Cricetulus griseus: one gene and its partners. The protein of the gene in region 1 binds, or shares a complex with, the protein of each later gene. Links are inferred from orthologs where the notes say so. Each region holds a gene or a part of one and is shown in the gene's direction. Other genes may lie near its edges. The genes, in order: Pex14, Pex19 and Pex5.

Region 1 (4,665 bases):
GTCAGAAAAGGCTAGAGACATACAGTAAAGATAGGTCCAGATGGAAAAACACCCCTCCAAACAGGTTACAGTGTGTTTAAAAATGTGTGCATGCTTAAGAAAAAAGAAAGAAAGAAAATGTGTATAGACAGTCATAGAAAAAGTATAGAGTTTATAAATAATAGTCTTTAGAGAGAGTGTAAAATAATAGAAGAAAAAAGCCACATAAAGATGGGAAATACACAGGGAGTCTGGATCCTGCATGGTGTTGTGTTGGCTTAAACGTTTTGCATGATGATGAGCTAACAATACCTGCTAAGAGAGACGTTGGATTGTAAAAGTGACTGCTGAATTAACCCAGCCTAGAAACTTTGGGAATGCCTTAAGTTTAAACTGTAATTCAGAAAATGTGTTGAATTGGGGAAGACGTTATGTTTTGTTTGCACAGGAAATGAAAGGCTGTGGATTCCTTCAAGAGATTCCTTCAACAGCTCTGAGACTGGACAACAAAAGTTACAACTGGTTTTCCCAGGACTTGATCATTATCTCAATATTCTCAGGGTACCCTAAAGATGCCATCACCCTCAGACAACAAGAAGCAGATTAGAGAACATGACACCCATATTCCCAAGAGGATGGAGTGGGTGGTTTTTGGTTATTTGGTGGATTATGAATGTTTGTCATCATTTAGTGGGGTTACAGGAATATAGGATAAAAAGACAACTATTAACCTCAAATGTTTTACATCAGTATGGATTTTGGTATATTGATACAATTTTAAAGTTATTTTTGTTATGCTGTATATATGTTTCTACTCTTGTGTAAGGTATTGTACCCATGCAATTCATTTAAAAGTGTAAGATAACGTTCTAGTCCTTGAAAGCTATTATTGTAAACAATTTAGGATAATTAAGAAATGCAGGTTAGCAGTCATCTATAACAATCAAACTTGTAGTTATGTTAGGTATGCTTTCAAGGTCATACAGAGAATATATTTTAGATGGTCTTCAAACACTTCAAAGACCTTCAGGGTATGGCATTTAAAATGTTTTGTTAACATAGGGATTTTCATGACAATAAGACACAGCTGCTCCTGGCAGCACAAATCTACATAATAAAGTAAGATGGACATTGAAGAACCATCATATGGAGTTTGCTTTCAATATGGCAAAGCCAGCCATTTGGGCAAGAAACTGCCCTTGCCTTGACTGCTGACAGTATGATTTAGAAACTGGACATGCAGGACACAAAGGAAAGTGACTGCTGAACTTGCCCAAACAAGGCAGGACAGTCCTTCGAGATTCCCACAGAAAAGTCTGGCAGATATTCTGCTGGACACACAGGAAAGTCATTGCTGAACTTTGCCAAAATAAGGCAGGACAGTCCTTCAAAATTCCTGCTTCAGGGACTGGAGAGATGGCTCAGAGGTTAAAGAGCACTGACTGCTCTTCCAGAGGTCCTGAGTTCAATTCCCAGCAACCACATGGTGGCTCACAACCATCTGTAGTGAGACCTGGTGCCCTCTTCTTGTCTGCAGAGACACATGCAGACAGAACACTGTACACATAATAAATAAATACATCTTTAAAAAAGAAGAAGAAGAAGAAGAAGAAGAAGAAGAAGAAGAAGAAGAAGAAGAAGAAGAAGAAAAACAAACTCCTGCTCCATAGAAAAGTCTGCCAGAGCCGGGCATTGGTGGTGCATTGGTGGTGCATGCCTTTAATCCCAGCACTCGGGCGGCAGAGGCAGGCGGATCTCTGTGAGTTCGAGACCAGCCTGGTCTCCAGAGCGAGTGCCAGGAAAACCAGAGCTACGCAGAGAAAGCCTGTCTCGAAAACAAAACAAAACAACAAACAAAACACAGAGAGAGACGGACAGTATTAGCTCCGTTTATTGCTATACCCGTGAGAAACAGCAGGCCCTCCGTGAATAGTGCTGTCCCGAATGGCTAGAAGTCAATTTCCACGTTCACGTGTTTAGCGACCGCACAGCCCCTGGCTGTGACCTGGGCCCCTGAGAACGTGGGCGTGGCGCACACCTGAGAGCTCGGCTCCGGAGGGAGGCGGGAGCGCCGAGGCCAGGCTCGACCTCCCAGCCGCCGGGGCCCCGCCCCCATCGACAGGCTCCGGGCCTTCTACTCTGGTCTTGCCTGGAGAGCGAGAGCGAGCGCTCTTGGGAGGAACTTGGGCCCGCGGCGGTCGATTAGTCAGGCCTCAGGAAGATGGCGTCCTCGGAGCAGGCAGAGCAGCCGAGCCAGGTGAGGGGAGCGGGGCGCCGCGGCCGGGGGTCGGGGTCGGGGTCGGGTCGGGGCCGGGGCGGCGCTGGCTCGCTCGCTCGCTCTCGCTCTGTCGCTCCGTCGCTCGGCGGGCGCGCGGCTGGCTGGCAGCGGCGTGGCGACCCCGGGCCCTTGAAGCCCGGGGCCCCCCGACTGGGTCCCTGCTCCGGGCCCCGCCCCTCTCCGGGTCCTCCCGCCCGGCCCCTGCCCCGGGGACCCCTCTGTCCCCACCGCCGCCCCCAGCAGCCCGCGGGCCGGGGCCGGGGGCCGGGGAGCGGCGGGCTCGGCTCGTTGGTGCCCGCTGTGCCCCGCGGGGAGGGCCCGAGGACTCCCGCCCTCCGCCGCAGCCCCCTAATCGGGGGCCAGCATCCCGAATTGAGCCCCCTAACTTAACAGACGCGGGCGAGCTGCCGGCCGCGGAGCCGACCCTCGCGCCTCTGGGCTTGGGCGTCCTGGCCAGGGACTCCCCTCAGAGCGCTTCGCCTGCAGGCTTACAACCGAATCCCGCCTCGGTGACCGGCCAGTGCTGGTGCTTGGGCTTCTGCCGTGGGGAAGTAGTGATGGTGAGGCCTCCGGGTGGGGTTTACAACCCCGAGGAGGAGGAGTGGGGCGCGCCGAGATGCCAGCCAAGAGACAGCCCTTTGGGGGCTTGTATGCTGCCGTGCACAAGACAAGCCGCGCTTACTTTTAGGTTGTGTTTATTTTTGGTGTATGTGTGCCAGCCACGGCGCTGATGGAAGCCAGGGGACAACTTTGCAGGAGTCGTTTCTCTCCTTCCACCTCGTGGATCGCCGAGATGGAACTCAGGTCCCCGGGCTTGGCAGCAAACGCCTTTACCTGCTGAGCCATCTCTTTGGGCCACTGAGTGGTGTCGCTTATCTAACTCTTGCCTGTACCCTTTGTAAAGTGCAGAAGTGGGTAGCGAGGTTTTGCAACCTGTCCTCAATCACGTGCGTCGCTGAGCCTAGATTTCAACCCACACTGTGTCTGAGTGACGCCGCTAGTTGGCCGTCTATGTTTAAACTTCATTAGGATAGACCTAGGAAGAAGAAAAAAAATGAGCCTAGGGATCTCATTCATCTCTCACCTCCTTGAAGCACCTTAGTTTCCAGCTACTTGCCAATATTTCATTTCCTTCCTAGGCAGGGAACTACACTTACTGTCTTCCTGCTCATGACAAGTCAATTAGAGGAATCACACTTAGAGGAGGTAGACACTTAGATCGGCCTCTGTTGGTGGTATGGGTAATGTGTGTGCTGTAAGACAGCACCAACAATTAGGGATGATTCTGGCCTTCTCACTGTCCAGGGTTCTGAAAGAGGGATCCCCCTTTCTTGCCTTATCCCACCGAGTTGGCTTAGCTGCCCCAGTGCCGTGGTGCCTGAGTTTTCCAGAACTTTAGGAATGGGACTGAAATGTGTCCACAGTTTCTGATTTCTCCAGGACACCTCCAGTTTTATGGAGGGTACTAAAAGTCTTGGAGATCACCCTCTTTGTACATGTGGAAGGGGGCTAAAGTCTCTCTTTTGGTTTTTCGAGACAGGGTTTCTCTGTGTAACAGCCCTGGCTGTTCTGGAACTCGATTTGTAAGACCAAGCTGGCCTCGAGGGGTCTAAGGTCTTTAAGGGTTTGGCCAGCACTTGTTTGGCTTCAGCTCTGCCTCTCCTTTGTCCTCCTTTCCAAAGCTGATAGGGATGGGATTGCGTCAGAGTGTGCTGGCAGCCTGGGAGAAAGTTGAACTCATTTGGTCATGTTCTGTCACTAACAATACACGGCAAATAAATAACACATTTAAAAAATATATCCACCCCAGGCATTGGTGGCACACACCTTTAATCCCAGCACTCCAGAGGCAGAGGCAGAGGCAGAGGCAGAGGCAGAGGCAGAGGCAGAGGCAGAGGCAGAGCAGAGAGGCAGAGGCAGAGGCAGAGGGCAGAGGCAGAGGCAGGCAGATCTCTGTGAGTTCAAGGCCAGTGTGATCTACAAAGAGAGTTCCAGCACAGCCCAGGCTGTTACACAGATAAACCTGTCTTGAAAAAACCATATGTGTGTGTGTGTGTGTGTGTGTGTGTGTGTGTGTCTGTGTCTGTATCTGTGTCTGTGTCTGTCTGTCTGTCTCACTGAATAGCCCAGGCGGGATCTTCCTGCCTCAGCTTCCCCAGTGCAGAGATTGTAGGTATGTGCCACTGTTATAGGATAAGTACACATATGTGTTCCTTGTTTATCCATTTTTGAGACAGCAGTTCATGTAAACCAATAGTCTTGAGCTTTACATAGCTGAGGATGACCTTGAACTTCTGATTCTCCTGCTTATAAGATCCTCACCTTATAAGTGAGACTTCATGGGTGTGCCAGCAAGTGGTTGATAATAGAGATGGAAATAGGACCTCCTGTGCTAAGCAGGCAGTCTA
Region 2 (4,665 bases), on another chromosome or scaffold:
TACTGGACAGACCTCTTTATTGCTCTAGAATACCAGGATTGTAACATTGATAACATTGATTATAATGTTACAGCCATGGAGTGGAGCAAGGCAAGAAAAACAAGTGTGGGAATCAGATCTTGCTTACTGTAAGAAAAGGTTAAGATATTTTGGAAAATAATTAAAAAAAAAAGATTATTTCAACCAGGTGTAGTAGCATGTTCCTTTAATCTATGGGAGGCAGAGGCAAATGGATCTCTGTGAGTTTGAGGAACTCACTATGATCTACATATTGAGTTCCAGGACAGCTAGACCTACATAGTAAGACCTTGTCTTAAAAGTAAATAGCGGGGCATTGGTGGCACACACCTTTAATCCCAGTACTCAGGAGACAGAGGCAGGTGGATCTCTGAGTTTGAGATCAGCCTGGTCTACAAGAGCTAGTTCCAGGTCAGGCACCAAAGCTACACAGAGAAACCCTGTCTCAACCCCCCTCCCCCCCCCAAAGTAAATAAATAAATAAATAAGATTATCCCAAACTAGCCCTTTGAAAAGACAGTGTTGTGAGTGTTACTGTGCAGAACAATTAGCACATAATCTATATAGATTTATGGCATGACCATGAAGGTGACCAAAAAGAATAGGTAAGATTTTGATGTATTAGTAGTTTGCTAGTAAATGCTTTATATCCAAGCTGGTAAGTAGGTCAGTCTAGACAAGCTGACAATTAAACTCCTAGGTAATCCTGGTTCTTTTCATTTCTCCTAGGCAGTGATGCAAACTCTCAACAAGAATTTACTTCTTGCCTAAAGGAGACATTAAGTGGGCTAGCCAAAAATGCCACTGACCTTCAGGTAAAGGGAAGGAATAGGGGTCCACTCCCAGATGCTTCCTGAGCAGTCTCACAAAGTAGATGCTCTAGGGTATCTCCTCAAATCTGACCCTGCCTTGATTTTTGTTACAGGCACATCTAGATAGTTCTTTGAACCTAAAAGAGTGGTAAGCATTCCAGGAAGGCAGTGTAACCTGTTGGCCTCTCTTTTGTCTTGTCTAGAACTCAGGCATGTCTGAAGAGGAACTGACCAAAGCCATGGAAGGGCTGGGCATGGATGACGGGGACGGGGATGGGAACATCCTCCCCATCATGCAGAGCATCATGCAGAACCTCCTGTCTAAGGATGTACTGTACCCGTCCCTGAAGGAGATCACGGAAAAGGTGTGTGAGTTTCCACTTCTGCCTTTTCTCCTCACTTCATTATGTCAACCGTGGGCCACTCTGCTCAGACAATGCATAGTAAAAGGGCAATTTGAGTGTACAAGTGCATTCTTTTAAACTCCTCTTTGTCGGAAGTAGAAGAAGTTATTGAGGGAATAAAGGTACATAGGTGATCTGATCATTTTTCCCCACTGGGAGTGTCTGAGCTAGAAGGGGTAATTTCTTCACTTTAGTTTTCTCTAAATTAGTTCAAGACTCTGAGTTTGACTGATCCATTCCTTCTTCTTGTCTTTCTTTCTTTCTTTCTTTCTTTCTTTCTTTCTTTCTTTCCTTCCTTCCTTTTTTTCTCCTCAAGACAGGGTTTCTCTGTCCTGGCTGTCTTGTATGTACACCAGGCTGGGCTCAAACTCAGTGAGATCCACCTGCCTCTGCCTCCAAAGTGCTGGGAATTAAAGGCCTGGACCCTTCTTGTATTTCTTAACTTTGTTAATTTCTCCAGTAAGGATTCACAGGATTTTGTGGTGTTGTTATGAACAATTTGAGAATAGTTTAAATGATGGTCCCTGCTTGAAAAAGCTTATAGTTTCACTAGAGAAATAGAAGCCCTTCAGCATCACAGGGCAACATGTGACTGAGTAGGAAATGAGTAGCAATACCAGGAGTCTGCAGACCAGTGTTTGTATAGCCTAAGTCCAACTCTCAAGCTAAGAGCAGTTTTTATATTGTTTTAAAAAGATTTATTTTTATTTCTATTTTTTAATTAGGGGAGTGTGTGTGTGTTTGTGTGTATGTGGAAGGGCATAGCCCACTGTGGGTGGTACCATCTCTAGGCAGGTGGGCTTAGGCTATAGCAAGAAAGCTAAAAAAAAAAAAAAAACAAGCAAAACAGTCAGCGAGTAGGCAGTATTCCTCCGTGGTCTCTGCTTGAGTTCCTGCCCTCTGTGATGGACTGTTACCTGGAAGTATCAGATGAAATAAATCTGTTCCTCCCTAAGTTGTTTTTGATGTTTTGTTGCAGCAACAGGAATAAAACTAGTACAATCATCAGAGTCTAAAATGATTATTTTCTTGCTTTTCGCAGACATAGTTTACTAATCTGCAGTAAATACCAGTGTGCCCAGAGGATTTGTTGGTGTCAACAGTACTTAGTCCTTTTCACGATGAACTCGCCTGTTTAGCCTTTCTTTCCTCTTTGTTCTCTTCTCTTTACTTTTTAAGTCCCCTTCTCTCCTTGTTCACTGAATTCTTTCCCACCCGTTCCCTCTCTTCCCTTAGTATCCAGAGTGGCTGCAGAGTCACCAGGAGTCTATCCCTCCAGAACAGTTTGAGAAGTACCAGGAGCAGCACAGCGTCATGGGCAAAATATGTGAGCAGTTTGAGGCAGAGACGCCCACAGACAGCGAGGCTACTCACAGGGCTCGTTTTGAGGCGGTGCTAGATCTCATGCAGCAGGTAAAGACCTCCTTACGGTGCTTTCCTACTGGTCCTGTCCACTTGGGTGTTGACTGGAGGAGACGTCTGGAAAGGGTGCTACACAGCCTAGGTGGAGGGAACACAGAAAGGCTACATACCATGGTCAGGAGAAACCAGATCACTAATCAGATTCCTTTTGTTGCTTTTTGTGTTGTTTTCTGTGATTTTTATTCTTTTTTGATTGCATGTTCTTTTTATTTTCTAGTTACAGGACTTGGGGCATCCTCCAAAAGAGCTGGCCGGGGAGATGGTGAGCATGCTTTCTATATTTTAACCCAGTTCCCAGTTTGCAGACTCCAGTAATCCGTAGTTAATCCATATAAGGTGACCATTGTAGCTGCTAGGCATGGACCTTCAGAAGCTCTGACCTGAAATATGAGTGGGTTTCTCCGTCCCTTTATCTCTTCTCCAGCCTCCTGGCCTCAACTTTGACCTGGATACCCTCAATCTATCGGGCCCACCAGGTGCCAATGGCGAGCAGTGTCTGATCATGTGAAACACAACACGTTTTCCTCCCTGAGTCCCAGACCTGGGGAACATCTGGAGTCAGCAGAACTATTGGGAACTGAGGCAGGAATGTCGTCTCTGGGAGCTGGCTGCCCCACACTCTCCATCCCATTCAAGACTGTGCCCTGCCAGCTGCGGATCTGCTGAATCTGCTCTGTAGGCCATTTCTGTGAGCCTTACTCCATCATGTGTTCTGCTGTTAGAAACAGGCCAGCTCATTGCCCCGTAAAGGAAGACATCACTTCTTCCCACTCCCAAAAATAATGGTCTATATGGCTGTACTCATGTTCCCCTTTATTCCCAGGGACTTCGTGCCTTGTTTCTACTCCCTCTCTTGGATCTGGGGAGCAGGAGCTGAGTCCTAAGACTTTGTGTTTGTTTCTATTAGGCAGGGCTTCTGGGAATGAGGAGAAAATGTAGCTTACCCTGGGGCTGTAGGTTTGTCACCACATCTCCTTGCCTTCATTTCGAGCTCTCTGAAGGGAAAGGAATTTTGCACTTAACCTGTGGTCAGGTTGGAAGAGAAGCCCTGGGCTTTTCCTGTCCCTAGGTGCTGCCCACTTAATTCCCCTTTCTTCCTGAGAACTCAAGTTGCTACCTACCTTGGTTCTTTCAACAGCTCTGGTTTGGGTGAACCCAGCTCTTGACCTTCCTTGGCCCCTTGACTGTCCTCTTACCTCCTCTCGTTTTAGATTCTTATTTTACTCCAGCCCCTCTGAACCACTGTGACTGATGAAGGCCAATCTTGTTCCCTTTCATCTACTCCTGTGTCATTCTCTTCCCTTCCCTTCCCTAGACCCTTCCCTTCCCTGGCCAACACGTAATTGTAGTGTCAGAGCTGGTAAATGAGTGGCCATGCTACCCAGATACATTCTGGCTTACTTGAGACATCAGATTCCCTAGAATCCTTGGTTCAGGAAGATGCTTGGGAATGGGGTGCAGCCTGAGTCTTTTTTCCTGCAAGCCCCAGGGGACAGTATCTAATAAATACTCTGAGCGCATGTGTGGGTTATTTTTCATCCAGGTCTGTTTCTGATCTTCCTGAGCTTCTATAAGCTGCAGAGTAGGAAGTGTTAGGAGATAGTTCTGTGTAATGTTATGCTAGTTTCTACCATGACCCTGCCCTCCAGCTTAGCTTGACATTATAATTGATGTTAATGATATTTTGTTAACATGTTTTCTAAATTACCTAGGTTTAAATTGACCTTCTCAGTAGGTCTAAGGACCATGATTGCCATATATTTTATGGATATTCATTTTAGTCCACCTAGCTGTCTAGTTCACTTGGAAAAATAACTTAAAATATATAACATTAATTTATTCTTTGGGAATTTTATACATGTATACAATGTATTTTGATCATAATCACCCCCTGGAAAATAACGTTTGCAAGAACAAATTCACATTTATCTTTTTTGTTTGTTTGTTTGTTTGTTTGTTTTGTTTTTTTGAGACAGGGTTTCTCTGTATAACAGCATTGGCTGTCTTGG
Region 3 (4,665 bases), on another chromosome or scaffold:
CTACCTTTGCTGCAAAGATCAAGCCTGCCCCAGGGCGCCACCTGCTGACTGACTGCTTTCGCTCCAGCATTCCGGGTTGGGACTGTCAGGCCTGTAAGCACTAATCTCACCCGAGCCCATCTACCCGCACTCTGAACCCCTCCTCTTCCCCACGGCGCCTGGGTCTTGTACCTGGGTGAGACATCAAGGTTTGTTTCCCAGTGACCTTGAGGTTTGGCAGATGGTGGAGCCTGAGGCTTAGGTTCCTAGTCCTCCGATCAAAGGTATTTCTTGCCACGTTTTCCCAGCTTGGAGCTGAGGGAATCAGGCCACCATGACCTTGACCAGTAGTGACGTTGGAAGGAGAGAGGAGTGACTCACTGCCCCGTCCCCATCCATTACCGGTTTGAGGTCTCAGAATGCGTAGGACCCTATTTTAGTCACCAGCATTTGTCATCATCCGGCGCTATTTTCCTCACTACCTAGGCATGGGAGAGGAATTGGGGGCCAGCCTCCGTCTCCTTGAAGGCTGTGACGTTGGAAGGGGCGGGGTGCGGGTGGGGGTGGGGGGTCACAGATTTGACCCCACGAAATCTCCCAGGTTCTGCTTGGGCGATTTAGAGAAAGAGAAGACTCAGGGAAAAGAGCTGACCGAGCCTTGGATCCTGCAACCTCGGTTTTCCTCCAAAGCACGGGAAGCCTCTCCTAGCTCCTTCATGCCTCTGAATTTCCCACAAAACCAACCCCGGCGTTCTGGGGACTCCTGGAGAGCTCGCCAAGACCGCCCGGCCAGGACTTCCCCTTTAAGGCTCCCGGCTCCGCCCCTCACGCCGCGCAGCTCCAGGCCCCGCCCCCTCCCCAGCTTCCGTTGAGCTGGGCCGCAGCGCGGCGGTCCCTTTAAGGCCGAGCCCGCCCCTGGCTCCCCCCCCTCCCCTCCCCCCAGCCCCCCGGGTGCCGCGGCGGGTCCTACGGTGCGGCCCGCGGCGGTGAGCTTGGGAGCCTAGGGGGCGCGGCTCGGGGCCGCGAGTCTCCGCTGCTGCTGCGGTGGCCTTGCGGGGCGGGAGCGGGGGCGCGGCCGGGTCGGGCCGGGTCGGGGCGGCGGACTGGGGGCCGCGGGCGCTGGGCCGGGACCCGCACGGCGGGGGAGGGGCTCGGGGGACGCGCGCGGGCCGGGCTCCGGTCCCGCCGCTCACCCCGGACTTGGAGTGGCGGGTCCCGGTGTACGGCCGGCGGCGTTCCCGCTCTCCCCGGTCCGGTCCGAGTCCCCGTCTCGTCGGGTTGCTGACGCGGTACCCGCGCTCCCCGGGGGTCCAGGCCCGTTTGTCGGGCTGCTGTTTGGCGGGTGGTGTCCCAGCTGCAGCGGTGACAGCTGCGGGAGGACCCCAGCCCAAAGCCGCGGCTTGGAGTGGGGAGGCCGGATGATAAGAGACTCCCCGTGGGGCTCCGGACACAGCCAGGGGGTAGCCCGCGCGGCAGGACGCCTGGCCCCGGAGGCCTGCTGGCCCGCGTGGGACAGTGGTGGGCCCACCTGCTCGAGATCGGGGCTCCGGGAGCGTGCGCTGTGAAAGTCTGGCTCTGGGAGCACAGTTCTAACCTTCTGTCCATCAGGGAGCTGGTGGTCACCATGGCAATGAGGGAGCTGGTGGAGGGCGAATGTGGGGGTGCCAACCCGCTCATGAAGCTGGCCACTCACTTCACCCAGGACAAGGCCCTTCGGCAGGAGGGACTGAGGCCTGGCCCCTGGCCCCCGGGAGCCTCAGCTGCAGAGACGGTGAGTGTTCTAGGGCACGAGAGCCCGTTTGTCGGTCAGCCCAGTAGCTGCTTTCTCTGTTGTTACAAGTAATAGCAGTTAGCACACAGTGGCGATGGTGTGAGCACCGTGCATCTTGACACAGAGGACAACTGTTTTATAGACAAAGAAGCCGAGGCTTTGTGAAGGCTTTTCACTTGCCTCACTCAGGTCACCTAAGCAGTAGTTAGAGTTGGTGTGTGGTGGTGGTGGTGGGGTAGTCTGGAATATTGCCTCTTTTCTTCCTTCCTTAGGTTTCCAAGCCTTTGGGAGTAGGTTCTGAAGATGAGGTAAATAAGACAAGTTTCTTGTCTCTCTGTCTGTCTCTGTCTCTGTCTCTGTTTCCCTGTCTCTCTCTGTCTCTTTTGGTCCGTGATTTTTTCTTTAAAACCTTTAAACAGTCCACTCATACTTCACTTTGAACTCTCTTCACCAAATGAGATTTGTGTGTCAGTGTTTTCTTCTACTCTTTTTGGTTTCCAGATTTACAGATAGGTTTTTTTCTTTTTTTTCTTTTCTTTATTGTCTCCAGTGTCTGTTTTCTTTCTGTCTGACATCAGTATCCCCATCCAGTCGGCCCTGCCCCTTTCTGAGGTCCCCTCAGCCTAATGGTTCATCTCACCATCTCTCTGCAATAGTTGGTGGCAGAATTCCTGCAGGACCAGAATGCACCCCTTGTATCCCGTGCCCCTCAGACCTTCAAGATGGATGACCTCTTGGCAGAGATGCAGGAGATTGAACAGTCAAACTTTCGCCAGGCTCCTCAGAGAGGTGGGTTGAGGGTCTGGTGAGAAGACCAGTGTTTTCTGTGCACAGAGGCCAGAGGGCTCCTATCCTTTGATTTTGCTGGTGTCAGCAGAGTGGGGAGACAAAGGAGGTGGCATCTAGGAGTGATGGGTGCTTGTTTCCTTTACTTATCTTCTCTTGTCTCTTTTCAGCCCCTGGTGTAGCAGACTTGGCCTTGTCTGAGAATTGGGCCCAGGAGTTTCTTGCGGCTGGAGATGCTGTGGATGTAGCTCAGGATTATAATGAGACTGACTGGTCCCAAGAATTCATCGCTGAAGTCACAGGTGAGGCTTGTGGGAAAATCTGTACTATTAGTACTGAAGTACTAATTCCACTTAGGGTGTAAGGTGACTTTTAGCTGTAATGGCTTTTCTAACTTGTTGATTCATTTCTGTAGGGCTTTAGATGTGACTTCTTGTAGTCATCATAGGGAATCAAAACATACAAGAAAACTGGGTTTGTTTTGTTTTGCTTTTGAGACAAAGTTTTTCTGTGGCTTTGGAGCCTGTCCTGGAACTCACTCTGGAGACCAGGCTGGCCTTGAACTCACAGAGATCCACCTGCCTCTGCCTCCAAAGTGATGGGATTAAAGGCATGTGCCACCACCACCTGGCTCTTTCTTTGTTTTCTTTTGTATGGGTATGAATGAAGAAAAAAAGAGAGGGGGAGGAGAGTGAGAAAGAGGAGACTGCTTTAGCCTAGTAGAGAGGAGCTAGAGATGGGATGGATGGCCCAGGAAGAGAGAAATCATCACTGTAGCACCTGGGAGTCTGGCATTCAGCCATCTTGAGTAGAATTGGGGTCTGGAAAGTAGGATTGTGGGGTTCAGAAGCTAGGCCATCTCTGTATCTGTAGGTTTCTTATCTGTAGATCGAACAAATTGTGGATGGAGAATGTTTGGTGAACCCTTATGTCTATACTAAAAGTATACATGATTTTTGAGTTTTAGACAGGGCCTCTTGTAGACCAGGCTGTCCTCCAAATCCCTATGTAAGAGGCCTTCCTACCTCAACCTCTTGAGGGCTGGGGTTCCAGGTGTGAACCACTGTGCCTGGCTGTGTGTGTGTGTGTGTGTGTGTGTGTGTGTGTGTGTGTGTGTGTGTAGGCATTATTTCCTAATTCATGTAATTACTGTGTACATGGCATTTATATTATATATTGGGTATTAAAAGTCATCTAGAGATGTTAAAATAACAGGAGGATGTGTGGGTTATATGCAAATAGATCCTTTCATATAAGAGACTGGAATCTGTAGTGTTTTGCGTTCCAGGAACCATTCTATTATGGTTATTGAGGAATGAATGGTCTTTTTCGGGTAAAGGTCATCTGCAATAATAAAATAATAATTAGCTTCTGTGTACTTACTGTGTTCTGAGCTCTGTGTTAAGTGCATTGAATTTGTTGTTTGTTTAAACTCCATGAGAACCCAAGTTCTAGCTACTGTTTTTATAACCACTTTACAGATAAGAATACTGAGTTTTTTGAGATAAAGTAACTTGTTTAAGGTAACAATATTGTAAGTGATTTGGTTTTTGTTTTTGCTTTTTGGTTTGTTTTTTTTTTTCCCCAGGCAGGATTTCTCTGTGTATCAGTCCTGGTTGTCCTGGAACTCACTCTGTAGACCAGGTTGGCCTCGAACTCACAGAGATCTGCCTGCCTCTGCCTCCAAAGTGATGGTATTAAAGGTGTGTAAAAGTGTGTGCTACCACCGCCCAGCTAGGTTTTTTGTTTTTCTTTTTTTAATAGAATAGCTTTTATTTATTCTTAGGCATTTTTATACATGTACTCCCTGGAAGAAACTCTGCCTCCTCCTTCTACTCCCTCTAGATACCCCAAATGTGTCCTGCTTCCTTTCATGTCCTTTCCTCTTTTTATATATTAATAACCCACTGAGTCCAGTTAATGCTGTCTCTCAGATGTCACCTGATCTTGACTTGACCTCATGCAGGTGACTACAGCTGAAATGAGTCCATGGGAGCAATAGGCATGCCATGTCCTGAAGACAGTGTGTTACTGCACCCCACTCCACCCTCTGGTTCCTACATTCTTCCCACCCCCTCTTCTGAGCTGTTCCCTGGGGAGGGGGGTTTGGATGGATGTCCCAGTCAGGG

What was found.
Region 2: the proteins of Pex14 (region 1) and Pex19 are in contact, whole or in part, in an NMR structure (PDB 2W85), measured with the Homo sapiens proteins. The link is inferred for Cricetulus griseus from reciprocal best matches to the Homo sapiens genes PEX14 and PEX19. Residues at the interface, in NP_004556.1 of Homo sapiens: Leu28, Thr31, Ala32, Lys34, Phe35, Asn38, Ser39, Arg40, Val41, Ser44, Thr48, Phe52, Lys56, Leu58; in NP_002848.1 of Homo sapiens: Gln67, Phe70, Phe71, Leu74, Phe75, Ser77.
Region 3: the proteins of Pex14 (region 1) and Pex5 are in contact, whole or in part, in an NMR structure (PDB 4BXU), measured with the Homo sapiens proteins. The link is inferred for Cricetulus griseus from reciprocal best matches to the Homo sapiens genes PEX14 and PEX5. Residues at the interface, in NP_004556.1 of Homo sapiens: Thr31, Phe35, Asn38, Arg40, Val41, Ser44, Pro45, Thr48, Arg49, Phe52, Lys55, Lys56; in NP_001124497.1 of Homo sapiens: Glu59, Leu62, Val63, Glu65, Phe66, Leu67, Gln70.

What each region holds. Positions count from the first base shown.
Region 1 is NC_048595.1:7,300,082-7,304,746, forward strand, and holds the start of Pex14 (peroxisomal membrane protein PEX14), read left to right. Parts: upstream 1-2,092; 5' UTR 2,093-2,200; coding exon 2,201-2,236; intron 2,237-2,935; exon of another isoform or gene 2,936-3,293; intron 3,294-4,665. UniProt on the Homo sapiens protein: Component of the PEX13-PEX14 docking complex, a translocon channel that specifically mediates the import of peroxisomal cargo proteins bound to PEX5 receptor.
Region 2 is NC_048598.1:20,718,176-20,722,840, reverse strand, and holds the end of Pex19 (peroxisomal biogenesis factor 19), read left to right. Parts: intron 1-747; coding exon 748-833; intron 834-1,033; coding exon 1,034-1,195; intron 1,196-2,470; coding exon 2,471-2,647; intron 2,648-2,873; coding exon 2,874-2,918; intron 2,919-3,080; coding exon 3,081-3,164; 3' UTR 3,165-4,176; downstream 4,177-4,665. UniProt on the Homo sapiens protein: Necessary for early peroxisomal biogenesis. Acts both as a cytosolic chaperone and as an import receptor for peroxisomal membrane proteins (PMPs).
Region 3 is NC_048601.1:21,899,391-21,904,055, forward strand, and holds the start of Pex5 (peroxisomal targeting signal 1 receptor), read left to right. Parts: upstream 1-1,603; coding exon 1,604-1,750; intron 1,751-2,022; coding exon 2,023-2,058; intron 2,059-2,406; coding exon 2,407-2,539; intron 2,540-2,706; coding exon 2,707-2,838; intron 2,839-4,665.